7 linked regions of the Rattus norvegicus genome follow. The protein of the gene in region 1 interacts with the protein of each later gene in a pairwise test. Links are inferred from orthologs where the notes say so. Each region holds a gene or a part of one and is shown in the gene's direction. Other genes may lie near its edges. The genes, in order: Flna, Myoz1, Pelo, Adamtsl4, Klhl12, Casr and Hspb7.

The links.
Region 2: the proteins of Flna (region 1) and Myoz1 interact in binary tests that used the Homo sapiens proteins (3 or more experiments, as listed by UniProt). The link is inferred for Rattus norvegicus from reciprocal best matches to the Homo sapiens genes FLNA and MYOZ1.
Region 3: the proteins of Flna (region 1) and Pelo interact in binary tests that used the Homo sapiens proteins (3 or more experiments, as listed by UniProt). The link is inferred for Rattus norvegicus from reciprocal best matches to the Homo sapiens genes FLNA and PELO.
Region 4: the proteins of Flna (region 1) and Adamtsl4 interact in binary tests that used the Homo sapiens proteins (3 or more experiments, as listed by UniProt). The link is inferred for Rattus norvegicus from reciprocal best matches to the Homo sapiens genes FLNA and ADAMTSL4.
Region 5: the proteins of Flna (region 1) and Klhl12 interact in binary tests that used the Homo sapiens proteins (3 or more experiments, as listed by UniProt). The two-hybrid records come from large-scale screens. The link is inferred for Rattus norvegicus from reciprocal best matches to the Homo sapiens genes FLNA and KLHL12.
Region 6: the proteins of Flna (region 1) and Casr interact in a two-hybrid assay, tested with the Homo sapiens proteins (2 studies listed by BioGRID). The link is inferred for Rattus norvegicus from reciprocal best matches to the Homo sapiens genes FLNA and CASR.
Region 7: the proteins of Flna (region 1) and Hspb7 interact in binary tests that used the Homo sapiens proteins (3 or more experiments, as listed by UniProt). The two-hybrid records come from large-scale screens. The link is inferred for Rattus norvegicus from reciprocal best matches to the Homo sapiens genes FLNA and HSPB7.

Annotation. Positions count from the first base shown.
Region 1 is NC_086039.1:157,168,844-157,172,343, reverse strand, and holds part of Flna (filamin-A), read left to right. Parts: coding exon 1-9; intron 10-532; coding exon 533-1,130; intron 1,131-1,218; coding exon 1,219-1,392; intron 1,393-1,475; coding exon 1,476-1,638; intron 1,639-1,718; coding exon 1,719-1,879; intron 1,880-1,967; coding exon 1,968-2,138; intron 2,139-2,453; coding exon 2,454-2,577; intron 2,578-2,660; coding exon 2,661-2,817; intron 2,818-3,413; coding exon 3,414-3,500. UniProt on the Homo sapiens protein: Promotes orthogonal branching of actin filaments and links actin filaments to membrane glycoproteins. Anchors various transmembrane proteins to the actin cytoskeleton and serves as a scaffold for a wide range of cytoplasmic signaling proteins.
Region 2 is NC_086033.1:3,692,390-3,696,412, forward strand, and holds the start of Myoz1 (myozenin-1), read left to right. Parts: upstream 1-1,223; 5' UTR 1,224-1,287; intron 1,288-2,339; exon of another isoform or gene 2,340-2,360; 5' UTR 2,361-2,378; coding exon 2,379-2,451; intron 2,452-4,016; coding exon 4,017-4,023. UniProt on the Homo sapiens protein: Myozenins may serve as intracellular binding proteins involved in linking Z-disk proteins such as alpha-actinin, gamma-filamin, TCAP/telethonin, LDB3/ZASP and localizing calcineurin signaling to the sarcomere.
Region 3 is NC_086020.1:48,530,402-48,534,074, reverse strand, and holds Pelo (protein pelota homolog), read left to right. Parts: upstream 1-1,404; 5' UTR 1,405-1,559; coding exon 1,560-2,285; intron 2,286-2,575; coding exon 2,576-3,007; 3' UTR 3,008-3,173; downstream 3,174-3,673. UniProt on the Homo sapiens protein: Component of the Pelota-HBS1L complex, a complex that recognizes stalled ribosomes and triggers the No-Go Decay (NGD) pathway.
Region 4 is NC_086020.1:185,929,297-185,932,796, reverse strand, and holds part of Adamtsl4 (ADAMTS-like protein 4 precursor), read left to right. Parts: intron 1-214; coding exon 215-552; intron 553-685; coding exon 686-1,283; intron 1,284-1,500; coding exon 1,501-1,603; intron 1,604-2,395; coding exon 2,396-2,532; intron 2,533-2,918; coding exon 2,919-3,123; intron 3,124-3,300; coding exon 3,301-3,473; intron 3,474-3,500. UniProt on the Homo sapiens protein: Positive regulation of apoptosis. May facilitate FBN1 microfibril biogenesis.
Region 5 is NC_086031.1:48,468,765-48,472,264, forward strand, and holds part of Klhl12 (kelch-like protein 12), read left to right. Parts: intron 1-2,000; coding exon 2,001-2,115; intron 2,116-3,500. UniProt on the Homo sapiens protein: Substrate-specific adapter of a BCR (BTB-CUL3-RBX1) E3 ubiquitin ligase complex that acts as a negative regulator of Wnt signaling pathway and ER-Golgi transport.
Region 6 is NC_086029.1:77,803,114-77,806,613, forward strand, and holds part of Casr (extracellular calcium-sensing receptor precursor), read left to right. Parts: intron 1-92; coding exon 93-323; intron 324-2,564; coding exon 2,565-2,688; intron 2,689-3,500. UniProt on the Homo sapiens protein: G-protein-coupled receptor that senses changes in the extracellular concentration of calcium ions and plays a key role in maintaining calcium homeostasis.
Region 7 is NC_086023.1:159,009,379-159,013,558, forward strand, and holds the start of Hspb7 (heat shock protein beta-7), read left to right. Parts: upstream 1-1,380; 5' UTR 1,381-1,449; coding exon 1,450-1,645; intron 1,646-2,140; coding exon 2,141-2,274; intron 2,275-3,497; coding exon 3,498-3,677; 3' UTR 3,678-4,180.

The DNA of each region.
Region 1 (3,500 bases):
CCCAGCAAGGTAATTAGTTTTGGGAGGCTATAAGGGGAGGACCCATTTTTCTTCTCTTCTCTGTTCCCTTCCCTTCCCTTCTCTTCTCCTCTCCTGTCCTCTCCTCTCCTCCCCTCTTCTCGTCTTTCCTCCCTTCCTTCCCCTCCCCTCCCCTCCCCTGTCCTCTCCTCTGTGTCTCTGTCTGTCTCTGTGTCTCTGTCTCTGTCTCTGTCTCTCTCTCTTTTAGCCCTGGCTGTCTTGGAACTCACTCTATAAACCTGGTGGACCTCAAAATCACAGAGATCCATGTGCTTCTACTGGGTGGAATTAAAGGCTTGCACCGTCATGACTAGCCTATTTTCCTTTCTTAGGGTCCCCTATCTTCTCCAGATTTTTCCTGAACCTTTGTCATTTCTATTTTTATGATTGATGAGTGGATGACCTATTAGGCAGCCTATTCCTGTCATGTCTCTGGGTAAGGAAGAAACCTAGGGCAAAAGAAGATATGAAAGGTTGGGCTGATAGTTGCTTTCTTATTTCTTCCTTCCCTCAGGTGAAGGCATTTGGACCAGGGCTGCAGGGGGGCAATGCAGGCTCCCCTGCCCGCTTCACCATTGATACAAAGGGAGCTGGCACTGGTGGCCTGGGCCTGACAGTGGAAGGCCCCTGTGAAGCACAGCTTGAGTGCCTGGACAATGGGGACGGTACATGCTCTGTGTCTTATGTGCCCACTGAGCCTGGGGACTACAACATCAACATCCTTTTTGCTGACACCCACATTCCTGGATCCCCATTCAAGGCCCATGTGGTTCCTTGTTTTGATGCATCCAAGGTGAAGTGCTCAGGCCCTGGGCTGGAGCGGGCTACTGCTGGTGAGGTAGGGCAGTTCCAAGTAGACTGCTCAAGTGCTGGCAGTGCCGAGTTGACGATTGAGATCTGCTCTGAGGCAGGACTGCCAGCTGAAGTATACATTCAGGACCATGGTGATGGCACACACACCATTACCTATATTCCTCTTTGTCCTGGGGCTTACACTGTTACCATCAAGTATGGTGGCCAGCCTGTGCCCAACTTCCCCAGCAAGCTACAGGTGGAGCCTGCTGTAGATACCTCAGGCGTACAGTGCTATGGGCCTGGGATTGAAGGTCAAGGTAAGGAGACCTGCTGTAGGGGGTGGGTAGCAGTTACAGGGTGCAAAGAGTCCTACAGCCACAGCCCCCTCGCTATGGCCTTTTCCAGGTGTCTTCCGAGAGGCAACCACTGAGTTCAGTGTAGATGCCCGGGCTCTTACACAGACTGGAGGGCCACATGTCAAGGCCCGTGTGGCCAACCCCTCAGGCAATCTGACAGATACCTATGTGCAAGACTGTGGTGATGGCACATACAAAGTGGAATATACTCCATATGAGGAAGGTATGAATGTGCTGGGGGTACCTTAGGAAGGGCAGGGAATAAGTGGAAAAGCCTAGTTTTTCCTGACCTGTCCTGCCCTCCAGGAGTACACTCCGTGGATGTGACTTATGATGGCAGCCCTGTACCCAGCAGCCCCTTCCAGGTGCCTGTAACAGAGGGCTGTGACCCCTCCCGGGTGCGTGTCCATGGGCCAGGCATCCAAAGTGGTACCACCAACAAACCCAACAAGTTCACAGTAGAGACTAGGTGAGTGAGCCACTGAAGATGCAGGGGCAGGCAATGGGCTTGGGAACCCTAAGTAATGACAGACTGTCTGTTTGGACCAGGGGAGCTGGCACAGGTGGCCTGGGCTTGGCTGTTGAGGGTCCCTCAGAGGCCAAGATGTCTTGTATGGATAATAAAGATGGCAGCTGCTCGGTAGAATACATCCCCTATGAAGCTGGAACCTATAGCCTTAACGTCACTTATGGTGGTCACCAAGTGCCAGGTGAGAAGATGATGACAAGGATGAAACTAGGACTCTGCCATATTCACAGTGTCTTACATAGCTATCATCCTTCTGTATCAATCCCCAGGTAGCCCCTTCAAGGTTCCTGTACATGATGTGACAGATGCATCTAAAGTCAAGTGTTCTGGACCTGGCTTAAGCCCAGGCATGGTCCGTGCCAACCTCCCTCAGTCCTTTCAGGTAGACACAAGCAAAGCCGGAGTTGCCCCACTGCAGGTCAAAGTACAGGGGCCCAAAGGTGAGACTTCACATACCTGGTAACAGGGAGTTATAGAGGCATATTTATTTTAGGCCCAGTAGCATGTGGGTTAGCACTGATAGTAGAAGGGTTTCAGGTAACCACAAAATCAGGCAGAACCCTAGAAAAGGTATAGTAGACAGGACTTGACCACTGACTAGATATAGCACGGGGGAAAGCCTAAGGAATTCCTAGAATTGGGTGTTAAAAACTTAAGGTCTAGTCTTTGGGGCCAGCCCTAGTCCTTCAGGGAGATGGGGGTGGGAATGGGTACAAAGAGCCAACCTAAGGGTCTGTCTTTGGGACCGGGGCTAGGCCTGGTGGAGCCAGTGGATGTAGTGGACAATGCTGATGGTACTCAGACTGTCAACTATGTGCCCAGCCGAGAAGGGTCCTATAGCATTTCTGTGCTGTATGGTGAAGAAGAAGTGCCACGGAGGTAAGAAGCACATTCACTTGCTTGTTGGGGGCAGACTACATACTTAAGCTTTTCCGATGGTTCATAACCCCTTAATCTCACAGCCCCTTCAAGGTCAAGGTGCTGCCCACGCATGATGCCAGTAAGGTGAAGGCCAGTGGACCTGGACTCAACACCACTGGTGTGCCTGCCAGCCTGCCTGTGGAGTTCACCATTGATGCCAAGGATGCTGGGGAGGGTCTGTTGGCTGTCCAGATTACGGTGAGCTTCCTAGGGAAGAGAGGAAAGGAACCAGGTCTGGGCAGCTGGGATGTAGGACTACAGATAGGCAGGCAGCTCAGTTTTGCTAACTAGTCTGTCTGGAGCTGTGCTCTAAGGACAGGGCCTCTGCTTCTGGTCTGTTAATGTAACTACATTAGGATGTGTACAATTTTCTTCAAGTTGAAAGAAACAAGCTTTCCTAAACATACATTCATTGCTATTAGGTATGGTATTAAAACCTGTAGCCCTTCAGATTCCCTACATGCAATATTCTCACAGAACAGGTATAATGTTGCAACACTTGAGATCTTTCATATAAGCTCATAGTGCCCTAGGATAGGCCCAGGGCTGAGCCTGGGCACCAAACTGGTCATATCTCTTGTCTTGTCAGAGAATGCTGGATTTTGGGGGGCTTCAGTTCTGCTCTCTGCCACAGGCAGGCAGCCACTGGGGCCATGAGGGATGAAGGGCCCAGAAGCTGTATCCCTGTTATATATCGCTGTTATACTAGTACTTGACGTATTTGTGAAAGGCCTGAGATAGTCCAGGTCTTGCTAGGCTTGGACCAACTTCCTTGCCTGCTCTTTGCCTCATAGGACCCTGAAGGCAAGCCCAAGAAGACACACATCCAAGATAATCATGATGGCACATACACAGTGGCCTATGTGCCAGATGTGACAGGC
Region 2 (4,023 bases), on another chromosome or scaffold:
AGGCTAGCCTGGAACTCAGGGATCCACTGTCTCTACCTCTCAAGTGTTGGGATTAAAGGTATGCACCACCATGCCTGGCATAGTTAAAAATTCTTTTTATAATTATTTAATTTATATAAGTACACTGTAGCTGGGTTTTTTTTTAAGATTTATTTATTTATTTGATTAAGAATACCAGAAGAGGGCACCAGATCTCATTATAGATGGTTGTGAGCCACCATGTGGTTACTGGGATTTGAACTCAGGACCTTTGGAAGACCACACAGTGCTCTTAACCGCTGAGCCATCTCTCCAGCCCACTGTAGCTGTTTTGAGACACACCAGAAGAGGGTATCAGACCCCATTACAGATGGTTGTGAGCCACCATGTCCTTGCTGGGAATTGAACTCAGAACCTCTGGAAGAGCAGTAAGTGCTCTTAACCCACTGAGCCATCTCTCCAGCCCCATAAAATTATTTTGTTGCTACCTCCTAACTTATTTTGCTACTGTTATGAATTGTAATGTAAATATCTGATATCTGACCCTGTGAAAGGGTTGTCCAGCCCTAGAAGGTCAGGCCCCGCATGTTGAGAACAGCTGTACTGAGAGGAAAGACAAGGAGTGGGGTTAATAGGCTTCCATCACATCATCTGCACTGGGGTTGACTAAGGTGGCCCCTCACCAGGTCAAGATCTAACGCTCTCAGACAGAAAGTCGACCTATTCGGGAAGTTTAGAAGCAATGCCGCTGTGAAAATTTCCATCTTATCTTCAGTGTAGGGCCTCAATCCCTCCCAGCTCTGAATACACTCATGGGTCCCTCCAGCCCCGGTCTGGAATGGCCTGAGTGGCCCACAAATCATGTTTTCTGTTTCGTTTTTTGTTTTTCCCTATACCTACTCTTAATTCTTACCCAGCACTAACTGTCTGCTCCCTTTCTTTCTGCCTCTGCTGTCCATTGCCTCCTGAGATGCTTCTTTGGATCTCAAGGCAAAGGGGAAGAAGCACACCGCTTCGGCTGACTGAACCCTGGTCAGACGGTCTGCTGGGAATTTTCATAGGCCTTCCCTCTTCCTGAACCTCAGGCAAGGAGGGCAGGATCCCGGCTCAGGGTCTCAGTGCCCCCGTTTGTGCCATTTGAGCTGCTTGTGCTCATCGACTCTATTAATAACCACCCCCCTCCCTCCCTCCCTCCCCCACTGCCAGGGCTGCCCCTACGCTTGCCCAGCTCAGGTTCTCCAGTCACAGCAGCTCAGTCATCCAAAGCTGCTGGACCCCAGGGAGAGCTGACCACCAACTGAGAGGCTGGTAAGTCTGTGGTTCTACCACAGGAAGGGGCTGGAGCCCACTTTTGTGACCTCCATGTTTGCAATCGTGATTCTTCGTCCTCAGGGAGTGGTCTCTCTTCTCATCTCTGCTCAGCTGCTGGTGGTCCAGTTGGAGCTGCAGAGTTGGAAAGAAAGGGACCTGAGGAGTTGGGAGGAATTAAGATGTGTGGGGAGGTACCTGACAGATGGGGAGGGGTAGTTTGAGATGCCACTAGGTTGGTAGAGTGTCGTTGTGTTTGTGTGACAGAACACCACAGAAAACAGCAGGACTGTTAGGGAGAGACTGGACTGTGTGTCTTTTTCTACCTTGTCCCCACCCACAGCCAGATCTCATTCCTGTGTTTCTGTCCTCCTACAATTCTCTACCCCCATGCATGATATTGCTGAGCTGACATCTGTCCCAGCTCAAACGCCCTCAGCTTGCTCTCAGGCCCAGCTCTGCAGCTTGGGGTAGGAGTTGCCTGAAGAAGCAAGGAACACACCCATGACCTCTCGGGCCATGTTCCAGTTGGCTTCCTGGAAGAACAGCTTCTCCTTCCTATGGAGAAGGGTTTGGCTGAGTCTCCTCAATACTAGCAGAACATTTCTCTACCCCCTTAGACCTTGATGGAAGCCTGAGCAGGAGACCAGAGTCTGGAGCCATAGTTGTAGCCTGCTATCCCAACACAAACAAGGACTTTAAATCATGCCAGGCCCAAGAAGCCTGAGTGCATTGCTTTGCCAGTGTTGTATTTGAACCCCCTTCGGCCATAGCTGTGTTTCCGATGCCCATACAGGAGTTATGGAAAGCGAACATAGCCGGTCGGTAAGACGTAAGGAAAGGGGTGCAGTTCCGCCTCCTGTCCTGCTTCCAAAGAAAACAGAAGTCTTGGCCGTTTACCTTCTGGGGATACAGATCACTGTGAAAACACATGCACGCATGCAAACATGAACACATGGGAAAAACTCTGAAGAAAATTTGTCCTCGACCCCAAGTTAAGTAGTTCACTGTAGTGAACATGCTTGTTTTCCCCTTTCCTGTCTTTTTTCAAGCCTGCTTCCTGCTCCTTCCAGGTCAAATCCCCCTCCACCATGCCGCTCTCGGGAACCCCGGCCCCTAACAAGAGGAGGAAGTCAAGCAAACTGATTATGGAGCTCACTGGAGGTAGGGCGTGCTTGAGCGCCCAAATGTAGGATTTTTAAGAGCATCCCTGAATCAAGAGCTGCAGAAATGATGTAAGACCGGTTATAAGTCAGAGTGAAAAAGACAAGAAGAATGGCAGCTGTGGAGGGTGTGGGAGATGGGGTGATGGGAGAGGTAAGAAGAGCAAGGAGGAAGAGACAGGAAGAACCAGAATTCCCTCTGTGGCCTCCAGGCCTTCCCACTGATTACTCGGAGACAACACCGGGCTGAGATTCAGGACAGGACCCATGGTCAGTGAACCTGTGGGAGGCACAGGCTAGGCCTCACTGAATGGTTAACTCCTCTTTCCTTTCTAAGTTCGAGGGAACTTATGTAAGCATTTAAAATAGGAAACTGCACAGCCCTACTCCCTGGGGATGCACACGAGTTACCAAGTGTGAAGTTCTCCTGATACCTCAGGAGTCAGAGTTCACTGAATAAAGAGAGAAAGGAGAGGACAAGGATCTGCGTTTAGAGATGGGCTTTCCCTGGCCGGTGTAATTCCTCCAATGGCCACTGTCTGTGGTGTTCTCTTCACTTGTTCTCCTTCACTCCAAGCCCATGCCCCTTGGCCGTGTTCTTTCTCCACTCGAGTATTCAAACACTATATATGGTTCCCTTTGTCCCCTTGAGTTCTCACTCTAAACCATGAAATCAAAACTTCTTATGAAATTAAAACAAAAGCACTTCTCATGGGCTGTGTAGGGTGGTGCATGCCTAGCACTCAGGAGATGGGGGCGGGGCGGGGGCGAGGGCGAGGAAATCTTTGTGAGTTCTAGGCCAGTCCGTGTTGGGGTAGACCAAATCAACATGGTTCCACATGGAGAGGTTTAATGAGAGAAGAGTAGAAGAGGGGAGAAGTAAAGGCCGGCCATGAGCACCAGGAGGGAAGAGGGGAGGGGAATGGGGAGAGAAGGAACAAAGGGGAAGAGGAAAAGAGAGCAGAGAAGAGAAGAGCAAAGAGAAGGAGGAGGGGGGCAAGCAGCCCCTTATATAGTGTCAAACACAGCTGGCTGTTGCCAGGCAACTGTGGGGGTGGAGCTTAGACAGAATACCAATAGTCAGTGCTACAAAGTGAGACCTTGTCTCAAACACACATACACACACACACACGCACGCACGCACGCACGCACGCACGCACGCACGCACGCACACGATGGTGAGATTACTCCGTGGTTAACATCACTTGCTGCTCTTGCAGACGACCCAGATTCAGTTCCTAGCACCCACACGGTGGCTCACAACCATCTGTAACTCTAGGTCCAGGGGATCTGAGTGCTCCTCTCACTTCTGTGAGTACCAGACATGCACATGGTGCACATACATACATGCAAAGAAAACACTCATACATATTAAACATAACTAGATCTCTGAAAAATCTTTTAAAAGACACACAAGACAAACAAAAACTTGTAAGCCAGACAGCCCTGTGCCCGAATTAATCTCTTTTAGAATACACTTAGCTGTGGGTGGGTGGCGCTTCCCTTCCCAGTCCAGAAAGCCTTCATTTCTTCTTTCTGTCTCCTCTTCTCTACCTCCTGGATAAGGCGGTCG
Region 3 (3,673 bases), on another chromosome or scaffold:
AACGTTGATAGTGCTCCGGGGAAAAGCTTGCATTCATTAAGAGCCTATGAAGCTACCTTCTTGCTTTAGTGAGACCTGTGTCTGGTTTGGTGAAAGGCCTTGAGGGAACAAACCAAAGTGAGTTCCAGGTCTCTGGGATAGGAAGATGGTGAATTAGATGGGGGTTGGGAGAGGGGGGGCGAGAGGGGAGGATAAAAAGCATGTAAAGTTGCACACACCCCACACACACACACTCACACACCAACCTCTAAAAAAGATGCCTGACATCAGTTAACATGATTAATCCCTCCTTTAGCCCTCCCTCTCATCAATTAAGGCTAAAGAGCTCTGCTTTAAGATCCGTATACAAAATGTAGTGAGAGTGTGTGTTCAGGACTTCTCTGACTCCCCTTTAGAAAGAGGCTTCTTATTTCAATCGCCACTGTACCAAAGGGGGTTGGGGGAACGGAATGGATTTTTTTGTTTGTTTTTCTTTTCTTTTCTTTTTTTCTTTTCCTTTACAACCAATTCTGTGGCTCTTCTTTGGAGATGGTCATATTAGATCGGTTTATCTTTACTTCCCACATCCTCAGCTTTTGGCCAATCAGTGGCAGGGAAGATCCAACGCTAATCTATTGCAATGCGGCTCCCACACTAAGCGCCCCAGAGACTACTGCGCTGAGTCTGCCAACTTTGGATTCTGGGATTCCCAGGACATCAACCAGGTCAAACTACACAGAGGTCCACCAGGGATACATTCCACGCATAGTTTCTGCTCTCTCTGGTCTCTGTCCTTTAACATCTGGGTTAACTGGATGGTGCAAACAGGGTAACGAGGCGCAGAAAACAGCTGGACATATTGCTGAGCCCAGGCTGAACGGGACTAATTCTTAGAAACTACTTCTGGATATCTCCGAGCCAACAAGCTTGTCATTCAGTCCGAGTGCGGGTAGGAAAAGAGCAAGCAAGGCTAAGCCGTGTTTTTTGACTTCGGAGGCAAGTCTGCACTTTTGGGCGGGCGTTTTTCACTTTCATATAAGTTTTGAAGCTGGCTTCACACCCAGGGTGGAAAAATCACAAACTCAGCTCAAATACACATGTTCGCACGCATGTCCTCCGTATGTCCTCTCACACAGGGATGTGTGAGAAAAAGCTCAGCTTTTTAAGAGCGGCGGCCAGAGGCGCTTACTTTGACATTTACCTAGGGTTCGCCTTTCCGTTTACTGCGCCTGCGTGAGCGCGCGCGCGCGCAAGCCCACAGGCCCCGCCTCTCTGGTAGGGTCGGTGACAGACGTGCGCCGGGAGGCGTGCTGCGCCTGCGCGATCGTCGCGTCAGCCTCTTGCGCGGGGCCCGCGACTGGAAGTCCTGAGTTGTCTGTGCTGAGCGTGAGGTCTGCCGCGCCGCGTGGGCCGGCGCGCGAAAACGGAGAAAAGGCGTGGGGGAAGCGCCGTCCCGGGCTACAGGAGTCAGAGGTAGTGTTTCCTTCCGGTCTGAACTCACCGCCCCTTCCCTGCCCCGCCCCCTCCCGCCTGGGGGCTTCCAAGCGCCTCCTATTCTGAAGTGAGCCCCTGCCGCGGTCATGAAGCTTGTGAGGAAAGATATCGAGAAGGACAATGCGGGCCAGGTCACCCTCGTCCCGGAGGAGCCCGAGGACATGTGGCACACCTACAATCTAGTGCAGGTGGGCGACAGCCTGCGCGCCTCCACCATCCGTAAGGTCCAGACCGAGTCCTCCACAGGCAGCGTGGGGAGCAACCGTGTCCGCACCACCCTCACTCTTTGCGTGGAGGCCATCGACTTCGACTCCCAGGCCTGCCAGCTGCGGGTTAAGGGCACCAATATTCAAGAGAATGAGTATGTCAAGATGGGGGCTTACCACACCATCGAACTGGAGCCCAACCGCCAGTTCACCCTGGCCAAGAAACAGTGGGACAGTGTGGTTCTGGAACGCATCGAGCAGGCATGTGACCCGGCCTGGAGCGCTGATGTGGCAGCTGTGGTCATGCAGGAGGGCCTCGCCCATGTCTGCTTAGTCACGCCCAGCATGACCCTTACCCGTGCCAAGGTGGAGGTGAACATCCCCAGGAAACGGAAAGGCAACTGTTCCCAGCATGACCGGGCCTTGGAGCGGTTCTATGAACAAGTGGTCCAGGCCATCCAGCGCCACATAAACTTTGAGGTTGTAAAGTGCATTCTGGTGGCCAGCCCTGGATTTGTGCGAGAGCAGTTCTGCGATTACATGTTTCAACAAGCTGTGAAGACCGACAACAAGGTGCTCCTGGAAAACCGCTCCAAATTCCTTCAGGTAAAACTCCTATGGAGAGAGTTAAGAGTGGGCAGAGGGGTTGCTGTAAACGGTTCTGGTTCTAATGTTTTATTTAGAATGGTGAGGAATAGAAGGCTTAGCTGGGAATATAAATGAGATTGTAACGAGAACGGAACTGTGCAGTACCTAGCACTTTCATAAGGCAACCTTTGCCTAAGTCCTTAAACAGGGTAGGCTGTATTCATGCGTTTCCCTTACGTCATCGGGGGGGGGGGCTGATAAATGGATACTTTCAGAGATTCTTTGTCTTTTATAATTGTGATTTCTAGGTACACGCCTCCTCTGGACACAAGTACTCCCTGAAAGAGGTCCTATGTGATCCTACTGTAGCGAGCCGCCTTTCAGACACGAAAGCTGCCGGGGAAGTAAAAGCCTTGGATGACTTCTACAAAATGTTACAGCACGAACCTGACCGAGCATTCTATGGACTCAAGCAGGTGGAGAGGGCCAATGAAGCCTTGGCGATTGACACCTTGCTCATCAGTGATGAGCTCTTCCGGCATCAGGATGTGGCCACCCGGAGCCGGTATGTCAGGCTGGTGGACAGTGTGAAAGAGAATGCGGGCACCGTAAGGATATTCTCCAGTCTCCACGTGTCTGGGGAACAGCTTGGTCAGCTGACTGGAGTAGCTGCCATTCTCCGCTTCCCTGTGCCGGAACTTTCTGACCAAGAGGATGATTCAAGTTCTGAAGAGGATTAAGACGGAAACTCAATAGTTTCTTCTTCTACAGCATCCTTGACAAGTGCAAGGCCGCACTTGTTGGTCCTGCTGGGGTTTCATGTGTGATGGGTTCCCATGAAGTGTTTTATGGTTTGGTTGGCAGGACATGTATTCCAATTAAATAAACCACAACGATGTCCAAGCATTATGTCTTCTAGTTCCAGTTACTGTTCTGTCAATACCTGGAAACAACAATTTGTGGATCTAAGAAAGAAAAGCTGTTTGGGGGTTTGATTACGAAACCCCATATACCTGCTTGACTTGGTTTTCCTCTGAAAACGATTTAAATCTCTCTTGATGTCTATTTCCATTCAATGTGGTATTTCTGCCTTTCATTTCATGATCCTTTCTCTCACCTCTTTCTAGGTTTTTTTCCCCAAGATTTTAACTACATTCACTACTTGAAGTGGTAGCCAAACGGTCAACAAAAGCCAGTCTAAATGTTATTTTCTTTTAGAGATTTGTTAAACATCATTTTAAATATGTGCTTCTTGCTCTTTGTTGTTCTAATCTATTTTCTGTAGAGAAATTTTTTTTTCAAACAGTAGAGGTTTGATCTACTAGGATTCTCAGCATAGTCTCAGGCCTTTACAGATGAGGTGAAAGTGTGTGGTTTGCTTACTGTGTGGCCGATGAGTGGCAAAG
Region 4 (3,500 bases), on another chromosome or scaffold:
CCCGGCCTCCCCTTGGGGGTGGCTTCACATTCCCACAGGGAGACTTCAGCCCCTAGTATCAGGTTTGGCCCACCCAGTCTCCCTGCTGATTCCCTCTCTTTTAGTCAAATACCACAAAAAAGGCTGGAGTTTGACCCTACCTGTAAATGTGACCTTGGACAACTAATAACCCTTGAACCTTGAGACACTAATTCTGACCTTTTCCCCTCTCTAGCTGTTGGGTCCTTCTCTTCAGACACCATCAGAGGAGGACCAGGTCCCTGAGGGTCTCTGGGGACCTTGGGGCCGATGGGCCTCCTGCTCCCAGCCCTGTGGGGTGGGGGTGCAGCGCCGGAGCCGAACATGTGAACTGCACCCAGCCCTGTCCCTCCCTCCCCGACCCCCAAGACATCCAGAAGCCCCCCAGCCCCGGGGCCAGGGTTCCAGACCCCAGACTCCACGGGATCCCCAGTCCCTGTATAGGCCACAGCCTCGGGGAAGGGGTGGCCCTCTTCGAGGTCCTGCTTCTCAAGTGGGGAGAGAGGAGACCCAGGAGCCTCGGGGGGCCCAGAGGTGAGGCTCTGAGGGCAGAGCAGAATGGGGGTTAACAGAAAGGTGTAGGGGACTCCAGCGCTGCAGGCCAGTCTTTCAGGAAGCAGACCGGGGAAACAGGCGAAGAGGTGACTAAGTCTACACATCCTCCCAGGTTCCGTGTTCGAGACCCTATCAAGCCAGGGATGTTCGGTTACGGGCGAGTGCCCTTTGCTTTGCCCCTGCACCGGAGCCGCAGGCTTGCTCACAAACCTGGACAGCCCAAGGACTCCTCTACAGCGGAAGAGACACTTCCATCCCAGCCTCCAAGCACAGAACCAGCCTCTGAAAAGCACAGCCCCCACATGCAGCCCCCTGAACTGCGTGCCCAATCCCGTTCCCCCTCAGCTGAAACTCCAAGGTCTGGAACTGCTCAGACAGAAGTGCCCTCCAGAACCAGTTCTGCTCCCTCCGACATGGGTATCCCTGCACCCACTTCCTCCTTTAGAGACAGTAGGTCTTTCCAGGGATCCCCTGAGCCACGAATGCCAACTTCCCAGGGAGCAGAGCGACAGCCACATCCTTTCTCTCCTGTCACCCGGAGCCAGCTGAGCCGGAGGCACTGGAGACCTCCGGGGAGTCCTCACAGGTCCCCAGATGGCTGGCTGCCTCTGACAAGGGACTCCAGCCCACACTGGAGCCTCTTTGCTCCCAGTAGCCCCACTCCAGAATGTTCTGGGGAAAGTGAACAGATGAGAGCCTGCAGCCAAGAGGTGAGCTGTTCTCCAGGTTTTGCACCCTAGACTTTCACTGTTCCCTGACCCGAGTCCTCATCTTGATAGACTTGGACTCCAGGGTGGTGGTTCTGACTTCAGGGCAGACGCCTTGGTGTTCTATGGAGTTGACCAACCAGTTCCCAAGCCTCGTTGGCCATGGCCCACACCCCAGGTTTCCTCTGCAGCTCTGACTCCTGTATATCTGCCTTCTCAGCCTTGCCCCCCTGAGCAGCCAGACCCCAGGGCCCTGCAGTGTGCCGCCTTTGACTCCCAGGAATTCATGGGCCAGCTGTACCAGTGGGAGCCCTTCACCGAAGGTGCAGTTTCTAGTTCCCCTGGCAGGGCGACTCAGGTTTGGGTGGCCCCTCTCTCCCTCCTGGGTGTCCTACTTTGCAGGTCACCCCAGAGGCTTAGCCCAGACCTAGAGAAGGGAGCTGTTTTCTGGGAAGCGATGGGTGGATGGTCAGGACAGGCAGCAGGCTGGCGGAGGGAGCTGGCTAAAAGATGCTGTGATCTGGCAGGGCATGAGTGAGACCTGTTCACTGGTCCCAGCAGGACACTATCTTCTGTTACTCCCAAGTTACTGTCCACTTGGACTTGTGGCTATGTCAACTCCACACTGACAAACCTTCATGAGCTATGAGCCTATGATCGTAGGTGTCGGAGACCCTTTTGAGGAGTGGTAGGATGGCTCAGTGGGTAGAGGGGCTTGCCTCAAGCCTGACGGATGACCCGAGTTTGGTCTCCAGAACCCATGGTAGGAGGAGAGAACCCACTCCTGCAAGGTGACCTCCTTCTCTCACGTGAGCACCCCAATCCTATACACACCTAAAACAAAACCACAAGAATCTTTTCTTGATGGCCAGGTGCAAAACTTTCCCTTTTTAGGAGAATGAAATGGGAGACTTAGTCAAATCGTAAACTCGAGACTACACAGCATAACAAAGATATAAGCCATAAAACCCTAAGCGTGGGAAACTCCCCCTCCCTCCTTCCACACCAACTTCAGGAAGCCTCACACATGATAAAAGGTAGAATGGCTGTCAGGGCTCTGGGGTGCTTCTTCCCGGAGGGACCCCCAGCTAATTAATCTATATCTTGTCCTTTAGTTCAAGGCTCCCAGCGCTGTGAACTGAACTGCCGCCCCCGTGGCTTCCGATTTTATGTCCGTCACACTGAAAAGGTGCAGGATGGGACCCTGTGTCAGCCTGGATCCCTAGACATTTGTGTGGCTGGACACTGCCTGGTAAGGGAGGGCAGGGTGTTGGTGAGGGAGGGCAGGGTGTTGGTGAGGGAGGGCAGGGTGTTGGTGAGGGAGGGCAGGTTTGTATATGTGCACCTTCCCTCACACACTCTCGAGATCGCCCCTCCCCCCAATTTGTTACAAGAGTGAAAACACCTGACTGAGGTGGCCAGAGGGAACATCTCTGCTGCCAGTAAGGGTGGGTCATAGGCAGGATCCTACCAGACTCGGCTAAAACTACTCCAAAAGTGCTTGGGGGCCCAAAGAACACTCTCACCCAAAGCACAAAGAGCCGAGCAGGGGCCGAGCTGAGGGCCCTGAGTGGAGTAGGCCAGGTGTGAGGTGTGCCTGGCTTCTGTGTGGCCCCTGCCTCACCTCACTCTCCTCAGAGCCCCGGCTGTGATGGGATCCTTGGCTCTGGCAGGCGTCCGGATGGCTGTGGAGTCTGTGGGGGTGACGGCTCTACCTGCCGTCTCGTTTCGGGGAATCTCACTGACCGAGGGGGCCCCTTGGGCTATCAGAAGATCCTGTGGATTCCTGCGGGAGCCTCCCATCTTCGCATTTCCCAGTTCCGACCCAGTTCCAATTACCTTGGTGAGAACTGGCCCAGGCCATCCTTTTTCTCTGATCTGCCTTCTACACCCTCTTCAGCCGAGCAAAGGGCCAAGCAGGAAGGGGCTGGTGGAGGGTGAGGAAGGTGGGTGGCCTAGGTCCTTATTTCTGGACACAAAGGCTTCGGAAGATCACTCAGCTCAGATTTCTGTCTTTCAGCACTTCGAGGGCCTGGTGGCCGCTCCATTATCAATGGGAACTGGGCTGTAGATCCTCCAGGATCCTACGCGGCCGTCGGGACCGTCTTCCAGTATAACCGTCCTCCTCGGGAGGAGGGCAAGGGGGAGACTCTGTCAGCAGAAGGCCCTACCACCCAGCCTGTGGATGTCTATGTGAGCCTGGGACAGGAGCTGGAGTGG
Region 5 (3,500 bases), on another chromosome or scaffold:
GCGTATCAAGAGTTCAAGGCCACCCTAGATTGTATGAGACCCTGTCTCAAACAAGTAAACAAATATTGGAACACCCTCCCCCCCAATTAAAAAAAATTCAGGCTAATTAATGTCACATCTCAAACTCATTTTCCCCTTCTTTCTTAAGCCTTCTATTGGTTAGTTTTCTTGTTGCTGTGATAAAATACCCCACAAAAGCAACTTAAGGAAGAAAGGGTTTATCTTGGTTCACAGTTGAAAGTTATAGTTCATCCTGAAGAAGTCATGGCAGAAAACCCATGAAGCTGTGGGTCATGTGTACCACAGTCAGGAGGCGGAGAGAAAAGCTGGTGCCCGCTGAGCTTTTCCCCTTGGTTAGGTGTGGGTCATCTTCCTAAGGAAAGTTTGATTTAGGGTTTCAGCCTCCAGATCCTAGCTCCAGATCTCTATACCAAAATATAATGTAAAGATTGACACAAAGGGCGTGAAGATGAGCTTCACTATCAGCAGACTGATTTGGGAAACACACCAACTGGTCTGTCTGTGAGGGGGGATTCTGAAAGGTTTAACTCAAGTGGTAAGGCCTGCCCTTAATGTAGGCCACACTATACCACTGGCTAGGGACCCACATGGTTGCCAGTATTCATATGCAGAAGCTTTTAGAGATGTGTGTACAGCAGTGGTTGCTACTGTTGTATATTTCCAATGCATACTAAAAACTTCTTGGAGTCAAACTACTAAAACTGTGAGTTGAAGATCCCAACAGGAAGCAGATGGTACAGTTCTAAGGAAGGCTTACTGTATATATAAAGAGCTGCTTACAAACTTATTCATTTGGAGAAACTGTAAAAGACCATGGAGACTATAGCTCTAGAACAGCCAAGCTGTCACCAGCCCTCAGTCTAGCCGAGCTAAGAAGTGGGTATCAGAGCCTGAAGGGAAAGTGTAGGCCTTGACATGCCTGCCTTTGGGCAGAGCTCCTCCCAGCTAGGAGCCATTTGGAGACCTTACTGGCACGGTGTATAGGGACTGTTTTTCTAAACTAGAGAGCAAAGTACAGTGTGGAGGTAGACACTAATACAGAGATGTATTTTCTATGTAGGTATATGTGTATATGTGCACATAGGCATGCACATGTAGACCAGAGGTCAGTCTTTGGTGCTGTTCCTCAGACCATCCACCTTGGCTTTTGAGATGCAGTCTCTTATTGACTGGCCTGGAGTTTCTGATTGGGCTGGCAACAAGCCCAAGGATATGCCTGTCTATCCACTAGTAGGGGCATTACAAGTATAGGCTACCTTGTCTAGCTTTTTTTTTTTTTTTTTTTTTTTGGTTCTTTTTTTCGGAGCTGGGGACCGAACCCAGGGCCTTGCACTTCCTAGGTAAGCGCTCTACCACTGAGCTAAATCCCCAGCCCCCTTGTCTAGCTTTTTATGTGGTTTCTTGTGACAGAACTTGGGTCATCGTGTTTACATGGGAGGACTTTTACCAAAGTGGGCCATTTCTCCCACCCATCTAGAGCACCATTGGATATAGATGTGAGAGCTGGGCTAATGGTGAATGCATTCCTATAACACAGAACTTGGGAGATAAATGCAGAAACACCAGATGTTAAAACTTATCCTATGCCCTGTTGTAAGTTTGAGATCAACCTGGGCTACCGGGGAACCTGTCGCAGAGAAAGGATGAAGTGGGTTGGGGAGCAAAGGAAGGAAGGAGAGAGATAGCTTTGGGGAAATTATTTTGGAGAAGACAATTTTTCCAAGAGAGAGAGAACATGTGTCTTGTCTTTTTGAGACAGTGTCTCCCTCTAGATCAGCCTGGCCCAGAAGTCACTATGTAGCCTTGAGTTGGCCTGAAGTCTCAGAAATCCTCCAAGTCCTGGAGCTGGGATGTGAAGCCAGCTCCCTCAGGATTCGTACTAGTCCTTACATGCTTTTGTCTGCATACACAACTTTCTGCTTTATATGCGCCATTGTTATTACAACGTTAGAGATGCCTGGTCCCCTTCTGTCTTTTAGCCTTTTATCCGCTGTAGTTTACAGTGCAGGGACCTAGTTGATGAAGCCAAGAAGTTTCACCTGAGGCCTGAACTTCGGAGTCAGATGCAAGGACCCAGGACAAGAGCCCGACTAGGTAAGCTGGTATTCCTGGCAGAATGGAGGTGTCTTTTTTTTTTTTTTTTTTTTTTTTTGGTTCTTTTTTTCGGAGCTGGGGACCGAACCCAGGGCCTTGCGCTTCCTAGGCAAGCGCTCTACCACTGAGCTAAATCCCCAACCCCTGGAGGTGTCTTTCTACTCCTTTTTCAGACAGTGTGATATCTGTAATACATACAGTAGACTTGTTTTCAGACCTGATTTTAATCTCCTTAGGCAAGTAGCTGCCATTTTAAGCTTTTATTTCCTGTAGTCTTTATGGCACATAGCTATTAGAGATTCAGTTAGATAAAGAGAAAACCATCTTACAAATTATCATATATTATGTAGCATCAGATTTCTACCTCAGCGTTTACATAAAGGGCTTGGAGCTGGAATGTAGCTCGGTTGTTAGTGCTTCCCTATCCCTGAGTTCAAGCCTCAGCACAACAGAAATGGTGGTAAATGCCTGCAATTAGGAGGTAGAGACAGGAAGAGTAAGTTCATCCTTGGGCACATAAACAGTCAGAAGCCAGCATGATAAACTGTCTCAAACAAACACAGTCCTAAAACTACAGGGCTTCTGACAGTCACATATCAAGGGTAAAATCCTGACTATGAGGCCAGAGTTGTGGTACAGATTTCTGGTTTACTCCTTACCTTAGGCAGGAAATTTACTCTGTCTGCTGATGCTTTATCTGTGACCTGGGAATCAACTTCACATCCAGCTCTAAGAAGGTTATGACAATTAGATGAAGAAGGCTAGGAAAAGGCTAGGAATAGCTACTGTCACATAAGTGCTGCCTATGTTAGCAAACAGAGAGAGGTTCAATCTAAGCCCTGCCAGTGGTGATCGGCGATAACAATTTATCTGATCCTAACTGGATAGGACAGAGCACTAATCCCAGCACTCAGGAGGCCTAGTCAGGTTGATCTCTGTGAGTTCAAGAGTAGCCTGGTCCAGATGGTGAGTTCCAAAGCATCCAGGGCTAAATAGTAGACCCTGTCTCCAATGACTGACTCACTCTCTCTCTCTCTCTCTCTCTCTCTCTCTATATATATATATATATATATATATATATATATATATATATATATATATATAAATACTTATTTGATCCTATGCTTTTACCCCTAAAATGAGGCTTAGTTTCTTCTGAGTGGGTTTTTGGGAGGACTGAATTGGAGCACAGATAAGATACCTAGCTGGCACAGAGTAAATATCGGCTATTTTTATCTTGTTCCCTGTTACTTCTCTGACAAGAGAGCCTCCCTGTGACTGTGTACAGCTGTTTTGTAGATTATCATTTATGAAGTATATATGAAGTGGTACTTCATTTGCTTTTATTTTTTTAAGAATTTATTTATTTTTATTATATATGTTTC
Region 6 (3,500 bases), on another chromosome or scaffold:
TCTTCCCTGGAATGAGATATTCACAGTACACTGCCAACAAAGCCACAAGTAGCCATCCATGGCTCCTATAGATTTATCCTTGTCTTCTTCAGGTCTTGAAGCACCTACGGCACCTGAACTTCACCAACAACATGGGGGAGCAGGTGACCTTCGATGAGTGTGGTGATCTGGTGGGGAACTATTCTATCATCAACTGGCACCTCTCCCCAGAGGACGGCTCCATTGTGTTCAAGGAAGTTGGGTACTACAATGTGTATGCCAAGAAGGGAGAAAGACTCTTCATCAATGAGGAGAAGATCTTGTGGAGTGGGTTCTCCAGAGAGGTATGAGCAAAATGTACTACAGACAGGGAACTGCTGGCTTGGGAGGGTCTTGGGATTCATCAAAGGCCTTTAGGATAATGTCTTTTCCTAAGCTCCCCAGCTCTGGGTGTCCAGGGTTCCCATGAACTACAAGAGTGTTTAAGTGATGAGAGGAAGCCCCGGAGGCTAGGCTTCATAACTAACCATGCTTTTGACTCCCTGGCTAGTCATAAAGTTTCCCAGACAATAAACTTCCCCAACCATGGCAAAAATATTTAAGCAAACATCTCTCAAGTCAGTGGCTCTTAAATGACACTGAAGGAGACATTTTACCCACCTTGTATAGGAGATTCAAGTTTGAGATAAAAGGGACTGCTTTTTAGGTTGTCACAATGACCCGGAAGTAATAATGACCTTCATTGCTTGAGGTTCAGGGAGGCTAAATACCCAGCATGCATTAGACAATCTTTTATAGCATTTTCCATCCACCCCAATCTCCATTAGTCATGTAGGGATGTGAGCCCAAAATAGACCTGGATTCAGACCAAGGACATTGAAATAGCTACAGGCTGACCCATATAGAAATCGAAAGGGCCATTCCTTCTACTTTGGGAGCCCCTTAACCAAGGGGAAGATGCTTGTGACTCTGGTCAGGAGGTCCTGCCCATATCTGAAAGCCTGACTAATAACCAGAAGTTCACCACTCAGAGGATGCTCACTGAGAAAGACATAGGGTACGCTGAACTTTCTGGGTGGCTGTATGCTAATATACTGCTTAGGTTTTCTTTTGTCAAGTTGGCCCAGGTAGTATCATCTGGGAAAAAAAGGAACCCTCAATTTGAAAAAAAAAAAAAAAAGCCCCATCAGATTCACTTGCGTTTAAGTCCATGAAGCATTTTTGATTTAATGATTGATGAAGGAATTACCTGCCAATATAGCTGTTGCCACCCTTGGGAAGGTAGACTTGAGTTGCATAAAAAAAGCAAGCTGAGCAAGCCAGGGGGAGCAAGCCAATAAACAGCATCCCTCTATGGCCTCTGCTTCACTTCCTGCCTCAAGTTCCTGCCCTGGCTTTCCCTGGCAATGGACTGCAGCCTAAAGGAAAGGAACCATTTCCTCCTCAGGTTATTTTTGGTTCTGGTGTTTCTCACAGCAACAAAGATAAAATGAGGCTACTAGAATAGAGCAAGATGCGGCACCCTGGCTCCTCTGCAGAAGCAGCCTCGGGACCAGGCATCCTCTACAACATCCTAGGAGTCTGGCTGAGATCCACTACATTACTCTTTGCAGTGCCTTTCTGCTGAGGGTTGTGAACCTCTTTTTATGACAAAAAACCAAAGAGTCAGCTTGTTCTTATTGCCAAATTGCTTAATTTTCCCAGTCTGTGGGATGGCTTCACCATGGGGAGGTCTCCTGTGACAGTGAATCTCATCCACAATGGGCAAGTCCTCACCTCCATTACAACATGTGTCATGACCTTTTCAGAATGGAGGTTTGAGATTCCACAGGTTAAACTCTTACATCCACTAACTACATCTTTGTTTACTTTTCAAATGAATGGAGCCCAAACTGACTGGCGATCCCATCACTGGCACACAGCTATGGTGCTATCAGCTTATCACGTGTCCTCAGTAATGCACGCAATTATCCGTCACTGGGCGTGGCTCATCTCCCTTCCTCCTTGGAAGCTATTTCCTGTACAGTTCCCTGTAATCCTAACGTCCTCTATCAGGCAGTGGGCATGACAGATTAGTAAACGTGTGATAAAGACAGTCCTTACACATGCAGTCATTCATGTCCCTGACTACTTGACAGAATTATAAATTACATTTCAATTCTTGATGGGAACGTGATCTGAAAAGCTAGCACACAAATAGGTATCCAACAAACCCGGGAGTCAAACTGACTTCTGAAAAAGTTGTGGGAGCAACTACAAAAATACCATGTATGTTTATTAATTATATATTAACAATTTATTCACAAATCTCATGAAGTTGCTACTGAGATCAAGTGAAATCTAGGACTTTGCATGGTTTGAGTTTGAACCAAACTGTCAAGTACGTCCACACTTGGCCTTACCACCTTTTGCTTTTAAGGAACAGGACCAAGAAGCCTGGCTCTCTCTATATCTGGACTAGCCCAGAGCTAGCCACACTGATTCTTATACTCAAACTCCTCACTTTGCCTGTGTCAAAGAAGCTGTAAGACTGACTCTTGACACCCCAGTCCCAAACCTCTCATTTCTATGTTCTCTGCCCTCAGGTGCCTTTCTCCAATTGCAGCCGGGACTGTCAGGCAGGGACCAGGAAGGGGATCATCGAGGGAGAGCCCACCTGCTGCTTTGAGTGTGTGGAGTGTCCTGATGGAGAGTACAGTGGAGAGACAGGTAAAGGATCAGCCCCTCACAGTCCCTGTGCAGGACTTGGGCTGCCTTGGAGATCAGCAAAGTCCATGGGAAAGCTGGACAGAGCTGGTACTTAGAACCACTGACCTTCTAGGGAAAGCATGCTTAAGTACTGCATCCACTGAGCAGGAGATGATGAGAAAGGCCTCACCGGATATTGTTTTGATATTCCAGGTGTTTATAGACATTCATGTGATACTCTTTTCTCTGCCTCCAACCCTGCCACCCAATAGTGTGTCCCTATTTTAAAGCTCCATGGCTCTAAGTGGACAGTGTGCCATCTGCTCTGACTTCAGGACTCCAGAGTCAAGGCTGTGACAGATTGCCTGCTGGTGCCTGGTGTTATATGCGCTCTCTCTCTCTCTCTCTCTCTCTCTCTCTCTCTCTCTCTCTCCCTCCCTCCCTCCCTCCCTCTCTCTCTCTCTCTCTCTCTCTCTCCCTTCTTCCTTCCCTCCCTCCCTCCCTCCCCCCTCTCTTTGATGTTTTTCCTGGGTTTCAAGCTCATTTGTTTGTTTGTTGTTTATTCATGTGTGTGAGTGTTTTACTTGCCTGTATGTATGTATGTTGCGTGTAATTTTAAAATCACACTAGGTCCTTCCTCAGGGCCATGCACCTGCGAGCTTCCTAGCCTGCCAGCCCATACTTCACCTGGTTATCTCTTTATCCAGGCTAGCTTGCCAAGCCATTGCTCTGAGATTGCTCTCCCATCAGCCAATCACCCTGTGGCTAGCTCCACCAGTGTCTGTCCTGTCTCATTCAGCTCCAAACTGCCAGCTTGTGTTTTTCCCCGAGAA
Region 7 (4,180 bases), on another chromosome or scaffold:
ATGTGAACCTCCTCAGGATTAGGGATGAGGGAAATCACAGAGAGGTCTCAAAACTCACAAAAACTCTGCCAGGGGGGCAGAAGGAGCCCTGTGTGGGCTGGAACAAACAGAGGCTTCCATAGGGGAGGGGGGAGGAGAAGAGAGAGAGAGAGAGAGAGAGAGAGAGAGAGAGAAGAAGGAGGAAGAAGAGGAGGAAGAGGAAGAGGAGGAAGAGGAGGAGGAGGAAGAGGAGGAGGAAGAGGAGGAGGAAGTGGTGGTGGTTCTTTGGGAAGGTGAAGATTTAGAGGAGTGTGTTCCAAAACCACTTCATGGGCTGAGGCCAGTTCCCCTTCTGAAAGAGCCTCCCCTGGCTTCTGTCCTGCCCAGCACCACAGAGTCTGGGCTTCTACTCATAGGCAATGAGAAGAAAGGAGATTCTTGGACACAAGGGTCTGGCACATCTGGATGGAATCCCAGTCATTCCGACATAGTTAGGTTCAGCCCTTCCTTTCCTAAGAGGCCACATTTCTTGGTCTGGGAACTTGGTCTTTTTTGAGCTGTGGAAGATCAAAGACAGTTCTGCCTGGAAGGGTCAGCAGTGGCCAGAGACACCCTGGAAGCCAGAGCTAAGACACCTGTCAGCGTTTTCCTTTACCTGAATATAAAGTCACGTGACTAGGACTCTAGGCAGGCAGCAGCTCTGAACTTGAGGTAGAGCAGACTGTTACCGGCAACTTAGCCTCTCAGCCTTTAAAGACAGTTACGGATGTATCTGCTCTTTCTCTGAAGCTGGGCCCAACCCCGTGCCCCACAGCCCCAACTCCAGATGCTAGCTCTCTTTTATTCTGCCAGTTATGGCCCCGAGAGTAGGGATGAGGTAAAGAATCACCAGTCCTTGTGGCAGTTGACAGGGGTCACCCACACGTTCTATCTCCCTTCCCTTGGCTTTCTCAACCTTCCCTAAGAGATAGCTGAACCTGGAGCTCCACGGAGCCCCGCAGGGTGCCTGTATGTACACACCCTCTCCTCATGAGTCTAATAAGGGAGGTGCAGGCCCTGAGAACCAGTTTGAGAGGAGAGTAGGGTCCCAGACTAGTGAGGGACAAACCACAAAGACCTAGGGGCAGGCACAGGGCAGGATCCACCCCCTGCTTTGGCAGGTACAGAGGCCCGTGGGGCTGGAGCTCTGGGCTTGGAGTGCCAGGCAGTGAGCTCAGCCCTCCAACCCTGCCCTCCTGTGTCAGGCTGTCAGCAGAGCCGTTTCTCCCAAGAAGATTTCCAGGCCCCTCTGGGCCATGAAGAGGCCTAAATTTAGCCAGCAGACAAGGGGCTGGCCTCGAGCCCAGGGACAGTTGGGCCTTATAAAGCGCTGGCAGTCAGGGGCCCCGGCACGCTTCTCTGGAGGCCTGCACCCACACGTTTCTCCAGCCCAGCCCCTGCCCGCCCGGACAGGGCCCCTGCTGCCTGTGGATGAGCCATCGGACCTCCTCCGCCTTCAGAGCGGAGAGGAGCTTCCGTTCCTCCTCTTCTTCCTCCTCCTCCTCCTCTTCTTCGGCCTCCCGTGCCCTTCCAGCCCAGGACCCACCCATGGAGAAGGCCTTGAGCATGTTTTCAGAGGACTTTGGCAGTTTCATGCTGCCCCACTCGGAGCCCCTGACCTTCCCAGGCAAGTGCTGGGGCTCTGAGGGGAGAGGAGGGGCACAGGTGAGGGACGTCTGCTCCAGGCCATTACTGAGCATACTGTGGCCACCCACCTACCAGGAATAGGTGCTGCATGGGTTACAGCCACATGTGGCTGCCAAGACAGACCTGGCTACCAAGACAGATGTGACTGGGAAACAGGTGGGCCACCTGGGACCCTAGGGATGAGATGTGATTCAAACAGTCCCACATGGCCAGTATCATAACGGGAACCCAGGAGGTTGGTGCTGGGACTGAGGGGCGACTGGCCCCTCAGAGCTTCCAGGTCTAGGTCTAAATTGCTAAAGGAGGGACTCGTATGCATAGACCACCTCACTCCATCCCTCAGGGACAAGGTAGGCTACAAGAGGGGCTGCTGTCTGGGAGAACCACTCATTTCCCCAAGAGACGAGCAGAGATCCGGGGGGTCTGAGGGTCAGGCTTGCTAGGTGACCAACTTACAAAGCAGCCTTGTCCACAGCCCGTCCCGGGGGACAAGGAAACATCAAGACTCTCGGGGATGCCTACGAGTTTACTGTGGACATGAGAGACTTCTCCCCTGAAGACATCATTGTCACCACCTCCAACAACCACATCGAGGTGCGGGCTGAGAAGGTGAGTCTGGCCCCTGGCTCACCCCAGAGTCCCCCACCTTCGCTCCTGCAATCTGATAGTCTAGCTGGTTCTGCCCGCCCTACTTGTCACCTGTCTTTTCAAGAATTCATACCCTGATGTGTGTTCCTTCCCTGTCGTACTCACCCAGGGCAAACTGCAGCCCTGTCCCTGTGGGCTTGAAGGTCAGGGACCTTTACACATCCCTCTCCAACCTAAGGTTCACAGGACCTGTCTTTGGGGGACATGCATGGCAGCCAAGGGCCGACTAGGGATGGGCGAGGGATCTTTGGGATGTGGGCAAGAGAGGAACCCAAGTGATTGAGACATAAGGGGGTGAGGAGACCAGGAGAGTGACCCAGGTGGAAAGTGACCGCAGTGGAGTAAGAACAGCTCCCTGACACAGGGTAGAGGAGGTGGCAATGACACACCCAACCTGGGTAGCATGGTCCATTCTTATCATATCTTTCCCTCGCCTTCATCCCAGAGCCAAAAGGGTGGGTCCTGTCTTGGCACCTCCATACTGGGCCTGAGGCTGAGGGTCACATCCATCCTATACCTCATGTACTTCACCAGAATCTCAGGGTGCCTAGCTCATCAGAGAAGGCATGGCCAGCACAGACAGCAGCTGCCACAGCCCTTAGGCAAGCCGTGCTGATTCTTAGAGGATATTTACCAAAGCTTTCTTGCCACCCCCAAGCCTGGCCGGCTCCCTTAACTCAGGCTGGCCACTGGGAAACCCTGCCAGAGGTTCGAGGACTGAGCCACTGGCTGCACGTGCCAGCCCCACGTCCCAAGAGTGACTCAGCCGGTCGACTCCACTGGACGCTATGTGCTAACTGGGCTGCAGGGGAGGGCGGCGGCCCTGGTCGGTGGACACTCAGGGTGCCTGGGGATCCAGAGGGCACAGTTGTGTCATCTCCCCACTATGGCTCGAGAGTCCCAGACTTCCAATCACTGCTGTAGCAACTCAGCCCCTATTGAGCCCCACCCAACCCCACTCTATACCCAGCTTCCCTCGGGACCCATAGAATGCCTCTGCACAGCCCTTGGCTCCTGGCCATCCCAACACCCCTGGTCAGATCTTTTGAGCCTGAAAGCTGAATCCCCCGTCATAGAGTGGGGTAACTGAGGACAGAGAGCAAAAGAGAGACTCTGGCATCACCAGGACCCAGGGTGGGGCTAAGGCTAGGGCAGCCATTCCTGACCTGTTATCCGTTCCCCAGCTGGCAGCTGATGGCACAGTCATGAACACCTTTGCTCACAAGTGCCAGCTACCAGAGGATGTGGACCCTACGTCGGTGACCTCGGCCCTGAGGGAGGATGGCAGCCTCACCATTCGAGCACGTCGTCACCCACACACAGAACATGTCCAGCAGACCTTCCGGACGGAGATAAAAATCTGAGGGTCTCCCCACCCCTGGCCTTCCCCCCATCTCCTCCCCCACTGGCCTGCTGGTGAGGTCGCCATGACCCCTGACAATGCCCCCCCCAGAACATCTCAGCCTAGGCCCCAGTCACTCCACACACTCTTAGGCCCCAGGTGGGTCACCCCTGTCCTCTCTACCCAAGGCAATCCAGGGACCCGCTTACCCTCACCCAGATAGGCCCTCCCTATCTTAGTTTACAATAGAGGGGCTGAGGTAGCCACTTGGGGAGCAACATGAAGACGGAGTCCGTAACACAGGGTGGCATCAATGGCATTTCTGCAGGGCAGGGGACCAGGGGCCCTCCCAGCAAGGGGAATATGAGAGACTGGCCACAAGCAGTGCTTCTGGCCCATGCAGACTGCCTCAGGGAAGGCAGAGAGACAGCCATGACTGTCACCTCCCTTGTAACTCTGGAAGCCTCAAACCCAGGGCTACCTGTCACCCTGAGCCTCTAACAACTACTTGTACCAGCAGGGACA